2 linked regions of the Notamacropus eugenii genome follow. The protein of the gene in region 2 purifies or fractionates together with the protein of the main gene of each other region. This does not show direct contact. Links are inferred from orthologs where the notes say so. Each region holds a gene or a part of one and is shown on either strand. Other genes may lie near its edges.

Region 1 (10,888 bases), on a different chromosome or scaffold from region 2:
CATGATTAAAGTGATTGTTGACCCCTCAAAAGTTGCCTTTCCTTTTAGAAAAGCAGATTAAAGAACCTGTGACAGTAGGCCCCCCCTCCCCCATCCCACCTGGTGTATGTCAGGATGCTTGCTTTTATAAGGGGTGAGAAGATAGGGATTTTTCAGACCCTGGCACAGTATGGGAATCAGCTGCAGTGATGGGAATTGGCATGGGCCTTAGTGGCAGCAAGCAAGTGTGACTTCAATGGCAACAGATGATGATGAGCTCCAGTGGCAGTGGAATAGGCGGGGACATTAGTTCAGCACTGGCACTGGTAAGGGAAGGCCCAGAAAAGCCTTTTGCTTACTATGATCCAGAAATCATAGGGCCTTTCCACATTGCTACCAGTGCAGTTACCGGACCATACCTTCCCAAGGGGGCTTTCTCAACCCTAAAGTGGAGCTGGGAAGTGGCTTATTTTCTTATAGCCATGCCTTAGTATTTACTCCAAGTTGGAGCCCACTCTTTCCATGGATATTGTGTGCCTTTGTGGGAGAAGCTTCCCCAGGTTTATGGGGGAAATGTTTTATACCTATTGATTTCATTATGCCATCTTAGAGCCTTCCCTAATTGCTAATTGTGTCTATTGGCTGACTGGTAATTAGAAGCACATTGGCAGGGCTTACAAGCTATGATGCCAGAAATGGAGTCCCATAAGGAATCGTTCACAGGTAGAATAGCATTGAGCTAACAAAAAATAATGTTAAAATATGAAGGTACCAGGTGATACCTTATCCCAGGCAAGTTACTCCTGAATCCAGCCCATCTTTCTCCTTTCAGTAACAACCTCTTCAGTACCGATCTAGAAGTATCCCAGGGTTTATATCTCTTTTCTACAGAATAATGTCCTGAGGTCTAAAATTTTTGACTGATGGTCACTCCCTCCCATTGAATTTGTTTTTGAAAATTAACCTCCATATTGTATGCCCCAAGGCAAGTTATAACTCTGCCCATCATTGTTTATACTTCTTAGAGTTGTAATTTTATTCATATGGATGCTCCTCCATAAATGGAAATTTTGACCTCTCTATTACTTAGTAGATGGTCTTTGAAAGTTGCTGGAAATTCATCAACCTGAGGTCAACCAAGCAACGAGACTATCCGAACTCGGATTGTTTTTCCTCAGAAAAAAGACATTATCAGTCGTCATCACCGCTATCACCACCATGATCATCATTAAAATTAGTATTTACAGAACATCTACTATGTACCAGGCACTGTGCTAAGTGCTTTATAAATGGCATCTCATTTCAGTCTCACAACATATATATATATATATATATACACATATATATGCATATGTGGTAGTACTAGGTTTGCATTCAAAATTTTTTTTTTCTCCTTGGTAGAACCTGCCAAAACTTGTACTTAACTGAAAGACTTTCGGATCACTAAGTTACCTTCACACCCTGATAAGGCCCTGGAACAGCTCTTTAGTAGGGTTTTATCATTCATGATAAATAAAACTCCTCCAATCATCAAGTAGTTTTTGAGTACCTATTATGTACTTAGCTTTAGGGAGGGTAATGCAATCAGTGTCTAGAACTTTACCTTTTCGTCATGCAGGTGGGTGGTGCTCTCAGCAGACAAAGCTGAACATCTTTTACTAAGTTTTTCCTTCCCCGGTCTATCTTACCAAGGTAATGGGTGTTCTGCCCATTTGGTACTATCATAAAGAAGAGTGAATGGCAGAATAGGGCTAGAGGTCAACGGTGGTTCTGTAGTAACACTCAGAACTACCACTAACTGCTTTGTCAACATAAACTGTTCTTAACAGGGCAGCAAGCATTGGTCCAGGCACTAACATACAGAGTCCAGGTGCTCCTTCTTTTCCCCTACACAACATTTCCTCTATGCTTGCTCTCTCTCCAGACCCCCAGTGGTCTCGTGGCTATCATATCCCTTTCCTGAGACCTGCCCTCCCATTGGGGAAGATTTCCTTCCCCCCTCCTTTCCACAAGCTGATTGGGCTGGGGATCCAGTCTTGGAGGATTGCTTGGGATAATGCAATATCAGCATGGCAATCATGGGGAAAACAGTATGGCAGCCATCCCCCAAGCCTCCCCGTAAATTTGGTCCCAGCCTTTCCCAGTTTCTATCCTTTTTTGGCTCTATGTTTGTTCTTTTCCATTTTAGGTGAAGGAAATGGAGTCTCCAACTTTGTGAGTTAGAAAGATCTGGAGGGGGCTTCAGGGGCATCAGGGGCATCAGCAGCAAGCTGGCCTTCCAGTCACGGTTTGCAGCCAGGGGAGTGTTGATGCCTCCAAGACAAAGAGAAGACTTTAGAGAATGACTTTCTGCACCCATGTCAGAGGCTGAGATGAAGACTTATGCAACAGCTATACTTCATCTGGACACGAAGTTGATGGGACCAATGCTACAAAGGAACTGAGCTAAATTTTGAGTGTGCTCTTCCCCAGACACTAAGGTTATACTTACTTAGAGGAAGAGTCTGTCCTTGAGGTGCTGGGGGAAAATGTTTGTACATTTGTTTTTATGATTTTTTGAAGTAAATATTTTTTTTATGGAATTCTTACAGTTTTACCTAATTAATCCAGGTGTTAAATGACTGTTATGTACCTGTGGGAATAATTTTCAACTTTTGTTCTCTAAGTTTAGAAAAGCTAACTTTGGATTTAAATTGAATTGGGAAACTAGTCATTGGTACCTAACAGAAAGGAGAATAGTCACTGGTACCTAATGGTAGGGACAATATAGCCAGTAGAGGCTCAGGTTAATGGAATACAGAAGAAAGACACTCCAACCCTCAAGGCACTCTAGAATGCTGAATGGCCAATATAGCAGCCTGGCTCTCTATGAAGTATAACTTATTAAATACAGATGAGGAAAATGAGGCCCACAGAAACAAAGTGATTTGCTCATGTTCATACAGTTAAGTGGGAGAGTTAGGATTTGCACTTGGATCCACTGCTTTTCAAATCTAGTACTCTATCTACTATACCCTGCTGCCTCAAGGAACTGGAATATTTTTGCTCTAAACTGACACTTGCATAACCTCACTCTGCTACCACCACTTAGCAATTATCTCTGTTCTTTTAAAATTCACTCCTCCCTCTTTATATCTTTTGCTGATATCTATGGACCTTCATGCAACTCTCTCTTCCTTCATAATTCCTAGGTTTCTCCTATTAACTCCTGTGACTTCAGTCTCCAGGTTACTTCAACAAGGCACAGAAACAGTTTCACCTTAGAAGCCCCTTTCTCTCTCTTCCATCGTATTTCACTGACTTTGCCCCCAGTGCTGGAATTCCTACAGCTTTAGTACCTAATTAATCCAGGTGTTAAATGACTCGGTCATATACCTGTGGGAATAATTTTCAACTTTTGTTCTCTAAGTTTAGAAAGTGATAATTATTTCAGATGGTCCCATTAATAATCATCTGTCTAAGCATGCATAATAAAGGCTCTTTGTTATCTCCAGGTCAAGCACCCTCAAAAACCTGTTGGGAGAGTTTGTGTACAAAGGTCTTACTTTATAAACTGCAGGGTCCATCCATTGTACTGGTCCTTTTCACCTCTTCTCATTTCGATGCACACTTGAAGGTTCGCTAATTTGCCCACTATTATTGGTTGATGAGAGAGAGAGAGAGACAGACAGACAGAGAGAGAGAGACAGAGACAGAGAGAGAGAGAGAGAGACAGAGAGACAGAGAGAGAGACAGAGAGAGAGAGGGAGAGACAGAGACAGAGAGAGACAGAGACAGAGACAGAGAGAGAGAGAGAGGGAGAAAGAGAGACAGAGAGAGAGAGGGAGAGACAGAGACAGAGAGAGACAGAGACAGAGACAGAGACGGAGAGGGTACAGGAGGACAGAGTTTAGTAACAGGGTGTTGATGAAGAGGGTGTAATCACAGCTTAGAACAAATGGCTTTATTTGGGGTATATTTATTTGAGGAACTCAGATCAATTAATCCATCCAAATACACTTGATGAAACACAAGAGGTTAGTGGCACAAACAAGGAGGGCTCTATTTCTATATAAAAGGGGTAGGACACTAGTTTGAGGTTTGGAAGAAACAATGGATTTGCCCCCACTTGTATCTTTCTCTCACTGCTCACTGTTGTTGGAAAATAGGAGAAATTTAGAGCTTAAAAGCAAAATAAAAACAAAAACAAAAACCCACTATATTAGCAATTGGGCTAAGCTAGTCAAGAGGAAAGTTTATTATGGAGGAGAAAACCCAGCTCTCAGGGAAGGCCTCAAGACTTTGCCCTCACCTTTACACTTGCATCTCTTGGAGAGTATAGAAAAGGGAAAGAGATTTCTGCTATTTATTAGCAGTGGGACCTCCACTTATGCTTATGGTAGCACCTAGTGGATTGGAATACTGTTGTGGAATCAAGATGGCAAGAAGAATTGAGAACCTGAGATCCTGCCAGGGAGATAGAAGGCAGATTTCCATTACACTACAATACTGGGAAAAGGGAAAAGGCACAAAAGTGAGAGAGGGGAAAAAACCCATTGAACAGAAGATTTCTTTTCTATTTCTTTTTGTACCTCTCCTGAAACATATAAGGTCTTGTATTAGCCTTCATTCAGTGCTGGAGGTGAACTCTCTGAATGAGGTTCTCTGGGGGCAATGACACCTTTATACATTGTGACATTCAGGAGGAGGGGAGAGAGGGATATATTTTGGTTCAGGCCTGCTTCAGGATTAGTACTAGAACTGAATGAAACACTGGTATTAAATATAACATCTTACCAAAAAATTACTAAACAATAGCATGGAATGTATATTCAGCAAAGATGCAGTACTGAGGCAGCTAGGTGGTTCAGTGGATAGAGCACTAGGTCTGGAGATGGGAAGGTCTGAGTTCAAATCTGCCCTTAGACACATACGAGTTATGTGACTGTAGGTAAGCTACTTAACCTCCATTTATCTTCATTTCCTCATTTGTAAAATGAGCTGGAGGAGGAAATAGTAAACCTCCAGTGTCTTTGCCAAATGAGTCGGACATGAAAAATGACCGAACAACAGTATTGCTTCCTTTCTGTACAGTTCTCCTTACCAGGTCAGAAGTGTATGATGAACCTGTGTCATGAACCTTAAATACCAACGGTGGTTTTATTGCTTTTTTTAACGTAAAATTTTGCCTGCCCTTTCTGGAATATATGCTGCTCCTAACACATTGTGTATTTTATAAGACCTTTAATACTTGGTCAGGGATAGAATGGTCAGCAGCCTTTAGGAGTTATTTCTTTTTGGTTAGCCCAAAACAAATTCTACCGTTCCACATCTAGTCAAGCTAACCTTGTTTTGTTTCTTACATATTTCACATTCCATCTTTGTGCAGGATGGTTCCCCAATGCCTACTCATCTCAGCCTTTTAGGATTTCTTACAAAGCTCAGATCAAGAGTTTCATTATACACAGGGACTTTCCTGATCTCTTTTCCCATTACCTTGTATTTATTTCGCTTATATTTTTGCTTTGACATATATTTTTATCTTCTTATGTATACTGTTTCCTCCTTTGGAATGGTAAGCTTTGTAAGGCCAGAGACTGCCTCATTTTTGTCTTTGTATAATTAGTCCCTGGCACAATAAAATGAAGGTGCTTGATAAATGCTTTTTGATAGATTAAATCCTCCCATGTAGGCAAGGAAAAGATTATCATTTTATAGGCAAGGAAACTGAGACTTGTGGAGGTTAGATCTACCTTGCTGGGATATTGTGAAGATCAAATGAGACAATATTTGTACAAAAGGCCTAGCATACTTGCTGGCAAATAGTAGGTATTACGTAAATGTTCATTCCCTTCTCTTACCTGGCACATCTGGTCACATAATGAGTCAAAACATGGTCTTCTACTTAAGAACTCTGATCAATGCAATGATCAATAGTTCCAAAGGACAGAATATAAAGAATGCTGCCCACTTCCTGCTACAGAGTTGACAGACTAAATATCTAGAAACAGAAACCCAGTTTTGGCCAAGATGGGAGCTTGTTTTGTTTGACTATGCTTCGGATTTTTTTTCCAATTTAAAAAAAAAATTATTTTTACTTTTGAATTCTCTCCATCCCCTTCCCAACCCACTGAGAAAGCAAGAAAAAAATACTTATTATATATGAAGTCACGCAAAACATATTTCCACATTGGGGGTGTGTGCAAGAAAAATAGAGTAAAGGAAACTGCTTCAATCAGCACGCAGAGTTAATCAATTCTCTCTGGAGGTAGATGGCATTTTGATCACACGTTCTTTGGAACTGACCTGGATGATTGTATTGATCAGACTAGTTAAGCTTGATTATGCTTGTAACAAAGTTTTTTTATTTTCTAGGGGGGAGAAGGATTAAAAAAATGCTTGATAATTGGGAAAAAATAAAATGTAATTTTAAAACCCTAGACTCTTAGGCTTTAAACCTTATGGCCTCATCAATAAATGTTTCCTCAGAAGTCAAAGGAGGAATTCCATTCGCCGCCTTCCAGCCATCCTTTGGGCTCGCAAATTCTACATTACAAAAAACCCAAACAACCCAGCCCACCCTGGAGATACCCACACAAAAACCAAACCACCAGCCACCGAACGTGGTGTATTGGCTCGTCCCGGCGGCTGCCCCGTCACCTCCAGCCAGACCAGGGTCTGCCTCTCTCGAACTTGACACCCAGGAAAGTAGTTGACTTGCTTTGATTGAGAAAGGGAAGGCACCCGTGGGCCGAGCGGCGCCCCCCCGGGGCTCCTCGCTCAGGTTCGGGCACAGCCAGGTGGCCGCGGAGGGAAGGGGAGGCCCCGAGAGCCAGGTGACGGGTGGGTGCAGAGCCGGGAGACGCATTCAGAGGCTGGCAGCCCCAGAGCGGAGGGGGACGAGGAGGGAGACGTGGGGGGCGAGGGGAGGAGACAGAAGAAGGCTTGGGGGGGTGACTTCAGGGGGGAGGGGGCTACTCCAGCTCGCGAGAGTTGGTGCCGAGGAGGCAGCTCGGAGATTCAGGCTCCGGCGCCCGAGTCCCCACCTCCCGGGGAGGCGGAGCGGGAGAGGGAGGAGGGGGAGCCGGGGAGGAAGTGAGGCACACGCACACTCACACTCACACACAAGAACACCAGCACCCGCACACACGCACGCACACACAGGCGGCTGCAGTCTGAGGGGAGGCAGCAGCAGGAGGAGGAGGCGAAAGGAGGCGAAGGAGGTGAGTCCCGCAGAGATGCCCACCTCGCCCAGTCCTCCGGCCGCTCTGTTCCCCACCCCCAGCCCCGCTGCCTCTCTCGTGCCCCCCGTCCTAGTCCCAACTCTGGTCAGAGCAAGAAGAAGCAGCAGATTCTCTTTGTGTTTTATTTTGGGGGGGGGGGCGGGGGGGAGCGCCCGGAGAGAGCCTAGCTCATCCCTGCCAAGATGTAGCTGCAGCTAGGGCCATGGTCCTTCCAGATCCCCGGGGCTGATATTGTTCCTGCCTGCCTGGAGAGGTAACCTGAAGGGTAAGGGAGGTATCTTTGTCCTCTGATGCTTCTCTTCTTGCCTCCCTTCCTCCCGCCTCCATCCTCCCTATTCCCCGCAAGTCCCTAACATAAACAATTTTCTGTCCCCTCACTAGTTCCTTCTAACCTCCTCGGTTCCCTGCCCCCCCAGCTGTTTGTTTGTTTATTTGTTTTAATGGAGGGGAAGGGTGCTAGGGATAACTCCCAATTGTGGGGGCTGCTTGATACGATTTCTAAAAACTGATGCGTCAGATTGCTAAACATTTCACTGATAGACCCACAGTAAAAAAAAATCCTCCGGCTCCCAAAAGCAGCACATATGTCAAAACCTAGCTTAAAAATTCACCGCCTTGATCCTGGAACCCTTTACCCTTTCCTTTTTAACAGCACTTTCTAGCCCTTTTTCCCCCTTTTCTTATGCTTAGTAAAGGGAAGAGATAGAAGCATTTTGGTTGGGGCAGGAGGGGAAAAGCTTGGACCTGAAGTGTAGGGAGCATGTCATCTTAAAAAAGTTGCCAGATTGATGTCTGTAGGACAAACTATTCTAAAAGCCAGGTGTTCTTCAGGTTAGCCATGTTAAACTCTGATTTATAATGTTGTTATGAATTATGTGTTTTAGAGCATTTAAAACAAAATAAAAGGTTTGGGTAGGGGGAGTGGATTGTACAAAAGAATGCTGTTGTTTACTTTATTACAAACACAAAGATGCATTAAGCAAATCTTTACCTGTTTCTTATAGTTTATGATAAGTTGTTGACGGGAACAAATGATTGGAAAATGGCTTGGGTGTATCACTTTTCCATGTCTGATTCATGGGTTTTTTCTTTCTAAACTTGAAAGTGGAAGATGTACTGAGAGATTTCTAGTGGTGTCTTTTTCTGTACTCTAACATGTCAGGTCACTCTGCTTGAAACTTCTTTTTGGAATTCTTAGTTTTATTAGCCAGCTGCAGTTTTTTGAATGTTCTTTGTCTAAAAACTATACATGACATTGGAAACCCCTTTGTGTTTGGCTAACCATTCTCTTCTTACTGTGCCTCAGGATATAGACAACAATTAAGCTTATTATACCTTCTTAAAGCCAGCTTTCCACCTTTCTTTTTAGTAGCTCAGTTCCTGTAGGTGAAATAGCCCCTCTTGTGAGTTCAAAGTAAAACATTTGCCTTAAACGACATAACTGCCTTTGGATTGGTGATGGCTAATTCCATTTCAAAAAGTGGATTGAATTGTTTTATCATTATTCATTTAGAACAGCAGTAACCAATAAAACTTTTAATTTAATTTAGTACCTTTTTTTTGCTCTTCTGGTCAGGAGTTAAGATGGCTGATGGTAGTTTTCAAATCGATTAAGATGGGTATGAGATTTTTTTTTAAAAAGGACATTTTTATAATACTTTTAAGTTTATCAAAGCCCTTTACAAATATTATCTGATCCTCTCAACAATCCTTTAAAGTTGGTAGTAGAAGTACTAGCGTAACATTTTGCAGCTGAAAAAAGTAAGGCTTAAAAACCTTAGTTGACTTTCCCATGGTCAAAAAGTATCTAAAGTAGAATTAGAACACAGGTCTTCCTGACTCTAAGTTCAGCACTATATCCACTACACTAGATCGTCTCTCAAAAAAAACCCCAAACAAATAGATATAATTTATGAATTGATTTATTTGAATTTTTGAAAGCTGCCCTGGTATTGGAGAATGAAAACCATGAACTTCGTAAAATTATGTGCTAAATAGGAATAGTTAGTCTTTTCTTGCTATTTGTACTTTACAGAAGAGCTAGTTTAGTCTTAACCTTAGCACTGACTTATTTCATTACTCCCCCCTCCCTAGTAGAATGTCTATGTGTTTTTGTCTTTGGATCCCCCTGCCTAGCATGGTGCCTTGTACGTAGCAAGTACATAAAAATATTTGTTGAATTGGCTTGACCCAGTCCAAATCACTAATATACTAAGCCTCAGTTTTCATATCTGTAAAATGAGGATGCACTGCCAACCTCACAGGAGCATTGCCAAGGTCAAATGAGATACTGTACAGCAAAGTGATAGACAAATATAAATGGGAGCTGTTAATTGTATAGGTAATTTTTGTTGTTAGAACAAATAAAAACTCAGGTGACTGGGAGTATTTGTGCAAGCATAGGATTTCTGTCCTTGCCAGTTTTTTTATGCTGAAAGGTTACTTTAGAGAAAAGGGGGAATGTCTCAAGTTCTCAGCACAAAGGAGAAATTGTGCTTTTCAGAAAACTATGGTTTTTTTTTTAAACTATTGACTCGGTTCTGATATTTGCCTTAGGTAAAGTGTTTCAGCACGAAGAGTAATGCAAAATCAAATGCTGAAATTTCATTTTATTTTATAAGAGTCTTTTGTTTGCTGTGACAAGGTATAAATCAGACAAACAGTATTGTAATTGTGATGGTGATCACATTAAAATGAGCGGGGAAGGACCAGTTTTGTTTTGGTTAGAGTTAACATCTTCAGAAACTGTTACTGTACTGCTGTTTTAAATAGGCTGAGTTTTGTGAATGGATAACAAAGCTAGCTTTTAAGGCCTTAGATACAATGTAATATAATTGCAATGCGTGTTACCACTACTTCAAGAATGTAATACGAATTACTACTTTGTCTTATTTTCTTTTCTAAGTTAAAAAAATATTGAGCTTGAGATTCATGGTACTTGCTTTAGTCTTTGTAAAACCTAAAATTAGTCTTCATGGGAAGAGAGATTTTTAATTGACCAGATGAAATTGTTTCAGGATAGTCAGATGATAACAGATGAAATGGATGGTCAAATTCACAATGATTAATCTTATGTCTAGTTTCAGGGAGTTAGTTTGTGCCATTGTACTGCTCTAACTAAATTTAGGAACAAAAGGATAATTTTCCTGGAAGAAACTTGAAACAATGAAAAGCCAGATAAGTAAGTAATCTTTCAAGTACCTTTAGATGTTAATTCATTTTGGACATCGCCCTTCGTGGTACAGATAGAATCCTTTCTACTGGTGAGAATCCTTACTGACAGTTGCCAATTTGGATTTAAAACAAGAAATTAGACTTGTTTGGGTATTAACTAGCCTATATCTAATGACAGTCTTAAAGCATTCATTATTGTGGCTCACAATTTGCCAGACTATTGAATCTTCGGAATTTTTTAGCTGAACTCTAAAGTCAGAGTATATTTAATAGGTGTATATCATTGTTCCTAGTTCTTATTTAAACAAATAGCTAAATTTTTAAAAAGAACTGAGATAGGGTTTTGAATAATTTCAGAACTGAACAAGTGTAAAGGAAAAGGAGTGAATTTATATTTCATATCTGGTAACTTTTCTAAATCCTTTCAGACTAGAATAAAAAGTATTCTTATATTTTATTATTGCTTCTAAAACTTTTAGGATAGGAGATTTTTTGTTATTTGTAGTGTTGGA
Region 2 (10,441 bases):
TAATTAGGTCTGGTTTTGCTTTTGCTTTGTCTGAAATCATACCTACCCCCTACCTTTTTTTACTTCAGCTGAAGGATAATAGATTCTGCTCCAGTCCCGTATTTTAACTCTTTGCGTGTCTTTCTGTTTCAGATGTGTCTCTCATAAACAGCCTATTGTTGGATTCTGGTTTCTAATCCATTCTGCCCTCTACTTTTCTTTCATGGATGAATTCATCCCACTCACATTCATAGTGTTTTGTTTTTTTTAAAATTTAAATAGTACTTTATTTTTTCCCCAATTATATATCAATAAAAATTTAGCTTTCATTTTTACAAGATTTTGAGTTCCTGATTTTTCTGCCTTCCTCCCTCCTTCCCCTCCCCTCTTCTGAAGATGGTAGGTTTATCCATATTTTGTCATCACATTCGTAGGATTGCTACCTGTAGACTTCTCACTATCATATACTCTTATATTCTTCCTTTTAAAAACATCCTTTCCTTTCTCAAGTCTGTTTTGCTTCTCACTCTGGCCTCCCTGAATCCATATTCATCCATCCTTTTATCACCACCCTGCCCCCCCACCCCCCAGTTCAGATGAGGGTGAGGTTCAGCCATTGTCTGCTCCCTTTCCCCCCCATTTTCCCCTCCATTTTACTTTTCTTTTGGGGGGAGGAGGCAGTCTAGGTTAAGTGACTTGCCCAGGGTCACACAGGTAGTAAGTGTCTGAGACGAGATTTGAACTCAGGTCCTCCTGACTCCAGCGGCAGTGCTCTATCCACTGTGCCACCTAGCTGCCTCTTCCCCTCCATTTGAAAATACATTCTTTCTAGTAACATGGCGGACCACCAAGCCTTACCACCTGCCCTTCCATTAGATGCTGAGGGCTTCTGGGCTTGGTATCTGCTTTGCATCTACACCTCCCAGACCCCTGCCCACTGAACCCTCAGGACTGTGGGGCCTCTCAGCTAACCTGAAGCAGGACTCCTCAGTCTCTCTTCTTCTGTGAATAGAGCCCTTTCTGAACATCTGTTCAGTCTTAAAATTCCAGCCCTCAGACAGCAGGGGCTATTTCATTTGTGTTCTCCAGCCTTTGGCTTTGGCACACAGTGAGCTCTTGATCCTTTTCCTTTCCTAGCAGAATGTCATCTCCTTGCTGCAAGGACTGGGGCTTGTTTACTTTTTGTATTACCAATGTCTTGTGCGTAGTAGGTACACAGTAGGTGTTGATTGCATTGTGTTCAAAGAGGAGAGTTAAATTGGAAAAGTCTTATTACAAATTAATCGCACACAGCCCCAACCAAAACAAAACAAAACCCCAAACCCCTCAGGATTGAGCGTACTGCTTGCCAAGGGTCCACATTCATTGTTTGCAATAAGAAAGCTAGTCAGCTTTCTTATTGTTGAAAACCAACTTCTCTGAATCCCATTTCATTTGATCCAATGAGTGAAGACCCATGTCCTTTGTGGAAGCCAGTCAGTCAGCTTCTGTGGCTGGGATGTAGCCTGCATGAGGGCAGGCAGGATAATGCAGTCTGAAGTCCCAGGGGGATGGACTTCCTACATTTGACAGAGATCTTGGTGTTTTCTGGCAGAACCAGAAGACACAGCTCAGTCCTGTCTAAGCTGGAGGCAGGGAGTCTGGTCAAGAAGCTGTTGTAGGGGATGAGGGCCTTTACCAGAGATAGTCCTAGACCTTAGAGCAATGCAGAGATTCTGGCTACTTCAGTGGTCCCACTCAGAGGCTTTTGGGGAAGACTCTCCAATTTCCTGATGCCATTTTGATCCTTGTTTAGCTGCAGAATGAATGGGGGTGGGTAGGGTGGGAATCACAGGGAGGGTCCCTCTGGTTCTGCTTGATATAGCAGGGTACATCCTGCCATGAAACAGTCAGTTCCCTCCTGAATAGCCCTCCTGTCTAAGCTCCTTTTGACTCCCTGTCCCTCCCAGCCAGGGCTCTTCCACAGCTACCCCATCTCCTGCAGGGGAACCTTCCAGGAGCGTGTCTTCCCTGAGGCTGCTCCCTGCAACTGGTGTTCATCCATTCAATTCAGAAATCAACTTGGAAAAAAGTTATTATTATTTCAGTGGCTTTCTTCATCCCAAATGACAAATTAAAGTCAAAAAATTTAGTCAGAGAGCTTTGGTGACTTTCTGCTTGAGCTCTCTGAAAGTAGAAGGTAAAGGCTTTATTTCTCCTTCTTGTGGTTCCTAAACCAGGTGACAGCAAGGGCTGGCAGATGTGGTGGTCCATGCACCTTGTCTGAGTGACAGGGATTTGGGGCCGGGTGGCAGTCAGCCACCGGCTGTAACCGGCCCAGCGATTTTCAGCCATTCTATCGGCTTTGACTCTGTAGCCGTTTGGTGCCCTACTTGGGGAGCCAGTGCAGCGGAGGCAGGTCAGTGTGTTGGCCAGCTTGGTCTGAGGCCAGGATACACCTTCCAGGGTGACCGTCATTTCCCATAGCAGGAATGGAACAGCTCAGAGAAATAAAGACATGGCATCCCTGTCTGAGGACACCTCAACCCCTGTGTCACCAAGACTATGCTCCTTTAGTCAGGGATGCATGTTGTAGGGAATGTATTGTCATTCCTAGGAGTTTGAGGTGTGCCCCTGGCGCTGGCCTGTCAGGGAAAGGGAGAAGGGCCCTCGGACATCTGCCAAGAGAGAAGGAGGGTCTTTGGTTCCTTTCCTGAAGTAAATTCATAGCCTTTTCTCTGTTGCTATCTACATTGCTCTTCCTGGATCATACTGAGGAACCACAGCCCTGCGGAAAGGAACTTGGGCCCCTTCAATAGCATCCTGTGTCCAGGAGCTCACTGTGCTTGGACTACTCCCTCTGCCAGCCCCAGCCTCCTCCAATAGAGAAGGTTGATTCAGGCACCTCCCTCTGCACACAGATCGGCCCTCTCCAGGGGTGTGTGACCTATGTTTGCTGGGCAGTATTGACACAAGGCTGTGAAAACAGAAGCTGCGTGCATTTGCGTGTGCATGTGAGGTCAGAGGGTAGGTCAGAGAGTGTTGAATGAGCCTGTGGGATTGAGCCAGGTGTTAGCAAGCTGGTGTCCATCGCTACAGCCAGTTAGCTTGACTGCCTTGGTTTGGGGAAGGAGCAAGAGAATGGGGATATTTTAACCTTCTGACTTTCAAATCTCCTAGTAGACAGGTTCTGTCTTGGATGATTCCCAGAAGTGAGCCAAGGGGACTAAGCCCTGTCTGGTCACCCATGTGCTGAAACCCAGTGCTAAGCCAGACGAGGGTGCTGGGTAAATGTCGTGGTGGTGATGCTGAAGTAGCATTCAGGGGCCATGGGCCAGGTCAGTGCTGCTGCTGGCCAGCCTTGACGTCCGGTGCCTCCCACAGGAGATGCATCATTCCTCCTTGTCGCCCTTTGGATCATCAACAAGAACCCCAGGGTAGCCCAGGTCTGGGGTTTGGCCAGTTCAGAACATTTGGCCCTGCCATGGGGAAGCAGGGAGGGGAGGAAATGAGCATTTAGGCAGTGATTACTGGATGGCAGGCACCATGCTAAGTGCTTTACAAATGTTATCTCATTGGATCCTCACAGCTACCCTTGCAGGTGGTACCATTAGTATCCCCATTTTATAGATGAGGAAATTGAGGCAGGTAATGGTTAAGTGACTTGCCCAGGACCCTACAACTAGTAAGTGTTGGAGACTGGGTTGAAACTCAGGTCTTCATGACTCCCGACCCAGCACCCTGTGCACTGTGGCTTCCCTTAGCCGCCATCCTGAGGAAGCAGGTAGGGTTTGTCTTTTCATCTCTGACCCCAGTGCCTGACTGTCATTGCCCAATCCTTATGATCCTTAGGAGGGGACTGCCTTTTGATTGCTGGACTGATTTGTCAGGCCCCTCCTCCTTCCCCACCCCTCTTGTGTGGGACCACATTGGGACCCTGGACCCTGTGACACTGATACCAATGGAGGCATTGGAGAGAAGAGCCCCAGGGTGCTCACCATGTCCTTGGCTAACTGGGTAGTGCAGGCAGAATTCAGAGCTGGCCCAGGCCATTAGGGCAGCCTGGTTGGCCACTGGGCAGGACATGGTCCTGGTTCATTCATCCCCTGTGCAAGCCCTAGGGCTTTGCTTCTGTGTTCCAGCCCCTTTATACCAGAACCTTCTCACTGAGCAGCATTTGCTTAGGAGACAGTAAAGAAGCCTGGGTGAAAATAAGGCTGTGTTCTCCTGTGACTACAAGTCTAGGACAGAGTTCATCAAGGTGTGCCGAGCCTGCCTTGGGGAAGTGGGAAGGGCAGTGAGCAGCTGGGACCTGAGGTGAGGGTTTTTACAAAGCCCTCCCTCTCTCTCTGGACAGCAGTGAGGATGTCTTAGAAAGTGTCTCCTTAGTTTCAGGAAGGGAGCTCCAGTGTCCTCAGTGGGTGGGAAAGGGGGCCAGGGGAAGTGCTTGGCTGCCTTTTCTTCCCTTCCCCAGGGCCCCTCAAGGTCTGGGAGAGGATTTCACTCCTGCCTTGATCCTAGAAAGTCAGGATTGTGAGAGCAGATCTATAGTCCTTGGTCCCACTAAATATTTGCTTTTAAGACAGCACTATCACAGTTTGCAAACATTCACCCTCACCCCCTGGAGGGCTGTAGTGTTGGGCACAAGTCATGCTGGAAAGGCGGGGTCCAGTTCCTTCTCCTCCTCTTCTCCTGCAGATCCCCCCAGACTCTCTGTGCCCTTTCCAAGGACCAGCCCTCCCTACTGAGGTGCCCAGCCAAGGTCCCTTTGGCACCTTTTTGGGTCTTCAGCACTGACTCTTGGGCCCTATCCTCTCATTTTCAAGCATTTGCTCTTTGCTGTCCTTGAGCTGACTCCTCCTCCCACCCCTTGTATCCATGAATGAGCCCCTCCCATAAACGTCTTCTTCCCCACTTGAGGGTGGGGCTGGCCTTCTCTTTGCTTATATTTCTGTAATATATAATGGTGCCTGGTATGTGATCGGTTCTGTATTAAACGATTGTTAACTGACTGAAAAAAAAAAAGCACTCCTTCCATTTTAGGTAGGAGCTCTGACCCTGCCATCCACAAGCTGATTCTTTTCATATTTTGATAACTGTTTCAATATTGGTGGCTCAGTGGATAGAGTGCCGGGCTGCAGTTGGAAGATCTGTGACTCCGGGCAAGTCACTTCACTCTGTTTGCCACAGTTTCCTCATCTGTAAAAGGAGCAGAAGGAAATGGTGAACCCCTTCAGAATCTCTGCCAAGAAAACCATAAATGGGGGTGATAAAGAGTTGGTCGTGATCACCAAATGACTGAATGATGTGTTTCGGTAGTGCAGGCCTGCACATTTTATGCACCCTTTAATTCACTGCTCTAGGGAGGGCCCCAGAGGCCTCTTAACTAGGCTGCCAAAGGACTATGTGGCCAAGAACCCCTGCTCCATTGGAGTCTTTATGGAAGGCAGTGAACAAGGGAACAGACCGTTATTAAGTGCCTACTATGTGCCAAGTGCTGGGTGAAGCACTTCCCAGAAGTTTTCTCATTTGAGAATTTGCCCTAAAAGTTTGGTGAAAAGTTTTCAGAAATGCTCAGAGTAAATAAAACATAAATCTTCAAGTTGACCAGATGTTTAAAGGGCTGAGATGGACCTTGTCATGCTTTTAGATGCTGACAGCAATGATCGCCGTGATTTCCAAAAATGAAGGACTGTGTGCTCACAGGGACCTGAGGCCACTCCTTGGCCAGCCTCGTCATCCATCTTCCACATGAAGTCTATCAGTAAGCCTCTGTTAGGGCCCTGATACAGGCTAGGCATCCTACTGAACACTCACTAAATGCCACAAACCACTACTTACTCTCTCAGGGAACATACAATCTAATGAAAGAGGTAACCTGCAAATAGCTTTATGTACAAATGAGTTATAGATCATAGATGGGAGATAATCCAGGGGAAAGTACAGCCATTAAGGGGGATCAGGAGAGGGAAGCCTGAAGGCAGGGTGGTCTGGGCATGGAGGACAGCCAGAGAAAGTACCCAGGATTGGCATCTTGTGGGAGGAGCAATGAGGAGTGCTTGGGAGAAGGGAAAGAACAGGATTTTCTTTTTGATCCTGGAGATAATGGGACCCTATTAGAGTGACTAGGGTTTGTGACGTGGGCTGAGCTGCACTTGGAGACCCCTTTGGTGATGCAAGCACCAGGCTATTGTTGCTATGGTTCACATGGGAGGGGATGAGGGCCTGCCCCCTGGGAGTGGCAGGTCAGGGGGAGAAAGGGTGAAGCTGACAGAAGTCCCAAAGGCAGAAATGACAAGACTCGAGACTGATTGGAAAATGGGCACTGAATAGAGGGTGAGGAGTAGGGGATGCCCCCTGGATTGTGGCCCTTGGGACTGGGGTGCTAGTACAGTGACAGGGCAGTTAGAAAGAGGAGAAAATTTGGGGCAAAGACAGTAAGTTCTGGTTTGGACATGTTAAATTGAAGTTGAATATAGAGGAAATGTTAGCCTAAAGTCAGGAGAGAGGTTAGGGTTGAAGGAGATGGGACGAGCAGCCAGAGCAGAGCCTTGGGGGACACTTGGACCAGAGCCTGAGGACTGGCCAGCTTGGTCAGAGAGTCAGCGGATTTAGAGATGATCCGGCAGAGGAGGATCTGAGGAGGACAGGAACCATAGTTGGATTTGGCGATTCAGAGATCCCCGGGTGACTTCAACGAAACTGGAGGATAGGAAATCTGACTGGAAGGTGTTCAGAAGCAGGTGAGGGGCAGGCAAGTGGAGGTGCTGATTGGAGCTCGTTTTGCCTGCAGGGATCTGCAGCTCATTAGGGATCTTTGCGGATGGGACGGATGCAGATGTTTGCAGACAGTTAATAAACTTTTATACACACACAAAAGACAGATCTGGACTTCAAGGAGCAGTCTAATTCGGAGAGATCCCCAGTTCAGGGGAAATGGAGAGCTGGCTGGAGAGGCCCTCCAGGCAGAAGGGCCCCGGGGCAGAGGTCCTGAGGTGGGCCATGGGGAAGGCCGGAGCCGGGCAGTGCGGGGGCAGGGGAAGGCAGGACTGGAGCGGGAAGAAGGACTTGGCTTGTGTGGGGAGTGCGATCCCGTCCCGGTCCTGGCCCGAGGCTGAGGCCAGGAGGAGCCTCTGCAGTAACAGCCCGCATCTCTGTGGCGCCTGCTGTGTGTACGCCCAGCGCAGTACTGAGAAGGTTCCCCAACCTGATGCTGTTGCCCCCTCCGGGCTCTCCTTGGCAGGCGGGCAGGAGAACGTGGGCGTCCGCTGTTGGCTGCAGAGCTCCTCGCCGTGTGCCCAAGTCCAGACCAAACCGCACAGCGCTCGTCTGTTTCGGTCTGGGTGGTCGTCGCCGGCTGCCTCCCCAGCGAGGGGCTGCAGGCTGGGCTTTGGGGCAGGGCACGCGCCCGGGGAGACGGCCGCCTTGGCTTTGCTCTGGCAAGCCTAGGGTTGCCAGGCCCGCCCCTCCCAGGTAGGCAGCCTGCCTGCTGCACACTGGGCCCTTGTGCTCCTGCTCCAGCCCGTTCTCCAGATGGGCCAAGGCTGCGGCCGTTTGTCTTATGGGGCGGGGCTTCGCCTTTCTCTGGCCGCCTTCTCATTGGCTGAGCCCGGGAGGGAGGGGAGCAGGCGGGCCGAAGTGCACCGGGCACTGGGTGAATGTGGTCGGACTTGTTTTCAGACTGCCGGAGAAGGGAGGGAGCCCCTGCCCAGCGCTCTGCCCCTACGCCCTCGCCCCTTCTGGGCTTTGCCTGGACCATGGTTGGAGACCATTGTAACCACCCTGGAGACAGAGCCGTGCTCAGCCCGCCCCCCAAAACTGGCCTGAGCTGCAAGATGGTCCTCCAGGCCGTGGGCAAAGTGCTCAGGTAACAATTCCCTGGGGGGAGGGGACCCCATTGGAGGGGCTGTCCTGGCAGGGAAGGGCAGTGGCACCCGGAGTGTGCTCTCCTTTGGAGGGGGGGGGCAGAAGAGCCCCGGCAGGCAGCATGCCTATGTCTGTCTGAAATCTTAGCTGACGGTTGTGTGTGTGCCCTGTGCCCCTGCCCATGTGTGAGAGAGAGAGTGTCCAGCGTGTGTGTATGTGTATGAGTGTGTGTGTACAATGGATGTGGATGAGAGTGTGTACAGTGTGTATGTACAGAGTGTATACAGTGTATGTATGTATGAGTGTGTGTAGAATGTGTGTGTACAGAGTGTGTAGAGTGTATGTGTGTTTATGGGTGTGTACAGCGTGTGCGTATGTGTATGAGAGTGTGTGTGTATAAGTGTGTTTGTGTACAATGTTTGAGAGTTGTATACAGTGTATGTATGTATGAGTGTGTGTAGAATGTGTGTGTACTGAGTGTGTAGTATGTATGTGTATGAGTGTGTAGAATGTGTGTGTACTGAGTGTGTAGAGTGTATGTGTGTTTATGGGTGTATACAGTGTGTGTGTATGACAATGTAGAGTGTGTGTGTACAGTGTGTTTGTGTGTTTGTGTAGAGTGTGTGTACTGAGTGTGTAAAGTGTATGTGTGTTTATGGGTGTGTACAGCGTGTGTGTGTACAGTGTGTTTGTGTGTTTGTGTAGAGTGTGTGTCTGAGTGCCCTAGACCAGAGCAGTACCTCTGAGCTGGAGGGGCCCCCTCCCTGCGTCTTAGAGAGAGCCATCCTGGAGGGAAATCAGGACACAAAGCTGGCGGTTACACAGTGAAACTTAGTGGTATAGCCCCTTAGACTCAGTGGCTTCTGGAGCTCTCTGAGCGCCTAGGATGGGTTCTGATGGGGAACCTTATTGGCGCCAGGCCATCAGGAAAGTCTGCCGTGGCCCAGGGACTCCCTCACAAGCTGAAGGAAAGCAGGGTGGCCATGCTTATTATGCTCTCTTCCCTTGGAGCCCCTAGGCACTTCCCAGACTCTGTCTTAGCAGAGCCCCCCAAAACCTGATTGGGTCATCTCGTGCTGATGGGAAGCATGTCCTACAGCCAGGAGACCCCCCTACCCCACTGTAGTCCAGAGTGGCCCCTGGAGTCTGTTTTGGCTGGGCCCCTTTGAGGAGACGGAACCCAGGGTGGGTCATTGCCCTTCCTTTGGGTTCTGCCCTTTCTCTGATGTTTCCCCTTCTTGTGAAGGAAGCCCTGGCACAGCCAGAGCCTTTGTTACCTGTGCTGTAAGCTGTGCTTTGGGAAAACTCAATTCCTCGGGGTGACTCAACCCGCGCCCACTGCCGGTTGTGTTGGAGGGCGGGTCCCCCTACTGCCGGCTCTGCCTTCTTGCTGGTGGTTTCTCCCCTGCCTGCGTGAAGAGGTTGGTTTAGGGCCCCGGTGGCTCAGGGCTAGTGATGCTGGCCAGAGCTCCAGAGGGTGGAATCCAAAGCCTCCCCCTCCCCCCGCCTACAGAGCCTACTGGGACCAAATGGATCCAAGCCTGTTCACACTTGTCTTAGAGTTGTCTTAGAGTTGTTGCTAACATGACCTTGTTCTTGGAGGTGTGCATTTGTGAGTGTGCATACGTGTGCCTGCATGTGTGAGGTACACACATATTATATGTTACTGAGAAGATGCATGTGTGCACACTCACATGTGCTTTTTTGTGAGCATTAATGTGGCGTGTGTGTGTGTGTGTATGTGTGCGTGCTTGTGTGAACAGGCACGTGTGTGAAGGAGATGGTGCTGTGGCCAGTTCATCTGCTTTCCCTGTGACCCCTTCTCCCTTTCCAGCCATCTCCAAGCAGAGGATGACTTAGTATGGACCACAATCATTGTATTTTTCTTGGGCTTTTCAGTTCTTTGATCCCAGAGGGTGCCTCAGAAGTGCTACAAACCAGGGGTGGGGATTGTTCTCTGGCTTTGCCTCCCCTGGCCTCTTCTGTTCCTCTACCCCTGGATTAGCCAGGGCTCTGGCTGCAGAGCTGCTCTCCCTCCAGCCCCAAAGGGAGACACCTCAGAGAGGGCTACCACAATCTCCTTTGTGGGATGGGGTGAGGGCTGAGGTGCAGCTCTCGTGGTCCTCCCTTCCATGTCTGGAGAGTGGTCCTTGAAGGGCCTGAAATCTGCTTCTCTGTCATTCCCAATGTTACTCCCGGCTCTCCCTGTATGAGGTGATGCAGAATGAGCCCGACCCTTCTGGAGAGATACAGGAAAAGCTCTCCCAGCCCTATAAGGGCTTCTGGCTGAACAGCCCAGGTGTCCCCAGCCAAGCCTTAGATGGCTCATACCATTGAGAAGTCCGTCACCATCTTGGTCACCTTTGGGGCTGGTTGACTCTCCATTCCCCTGGGGGAGGGCCTGAGACTTCAGCACCTTGGGGAAGTCCTGCTGTGAGACAGCCTTAGCCCTAAGTCTGAAGAAAGTCAAAATTGCTTGACTGCAAACCCAGCAGCAGTCACTGTGCTGCTGATGTGGTCTGGCTGCCTCCTCCAAGACAGAAAACACTCTGATAGCACTGGGACCTCCTGGTATGGAGGGGCCGTGCAGTGATAGAGGTTCCACCTTCTTAGGTTA

Evidence for each region. Proteins that work in one complex are often made in the same cells at the same time.
Region 1: the proteins of MOB2 (region 2) and STK38L purify together in Homo sapiens (affinity purification with mass spectrometry; 9 studies listed by BioGRID and IntAct, counting the BioPlex papers as one, with this or other methods). This does not show direct contact. The link is inferred for Notamacropus eugenii from reciprocal best matches to the Homo sapiens genes MOB2 and STK38L.

The regions. Positions count from the first base shown.
Region 1 is NC_092874.1:178,339,579-178,350,466, reverse strand, and holds the start of STK38L (serine/threonine-protein kinase 38-like), read left to right. Parts: upstream 1-6,944; 5' UTR 6,945-7,181; intron 7,182-10,888. UniProt on the Homo sapiens protein: Involved in the regulation of structural processes in differentiating and mature neuronal cells.
Region 2 is NC_092873.1:26,426,248-26,436,688, forward strand, and holds the start of MOB2 (MOB kinase activator 2), read left to right. Parts: upstream 1-6,203; 5' UTR 6,204-6,294; intron 6,295-7,638; 5' UTR 7,639-7,715; coding exon 7,716-7,825; intron 7,826-10,441. UniProt on the Homo sapiens protein: Stimulates the autophosphorylation and kinase activity of STK38 and STK38L.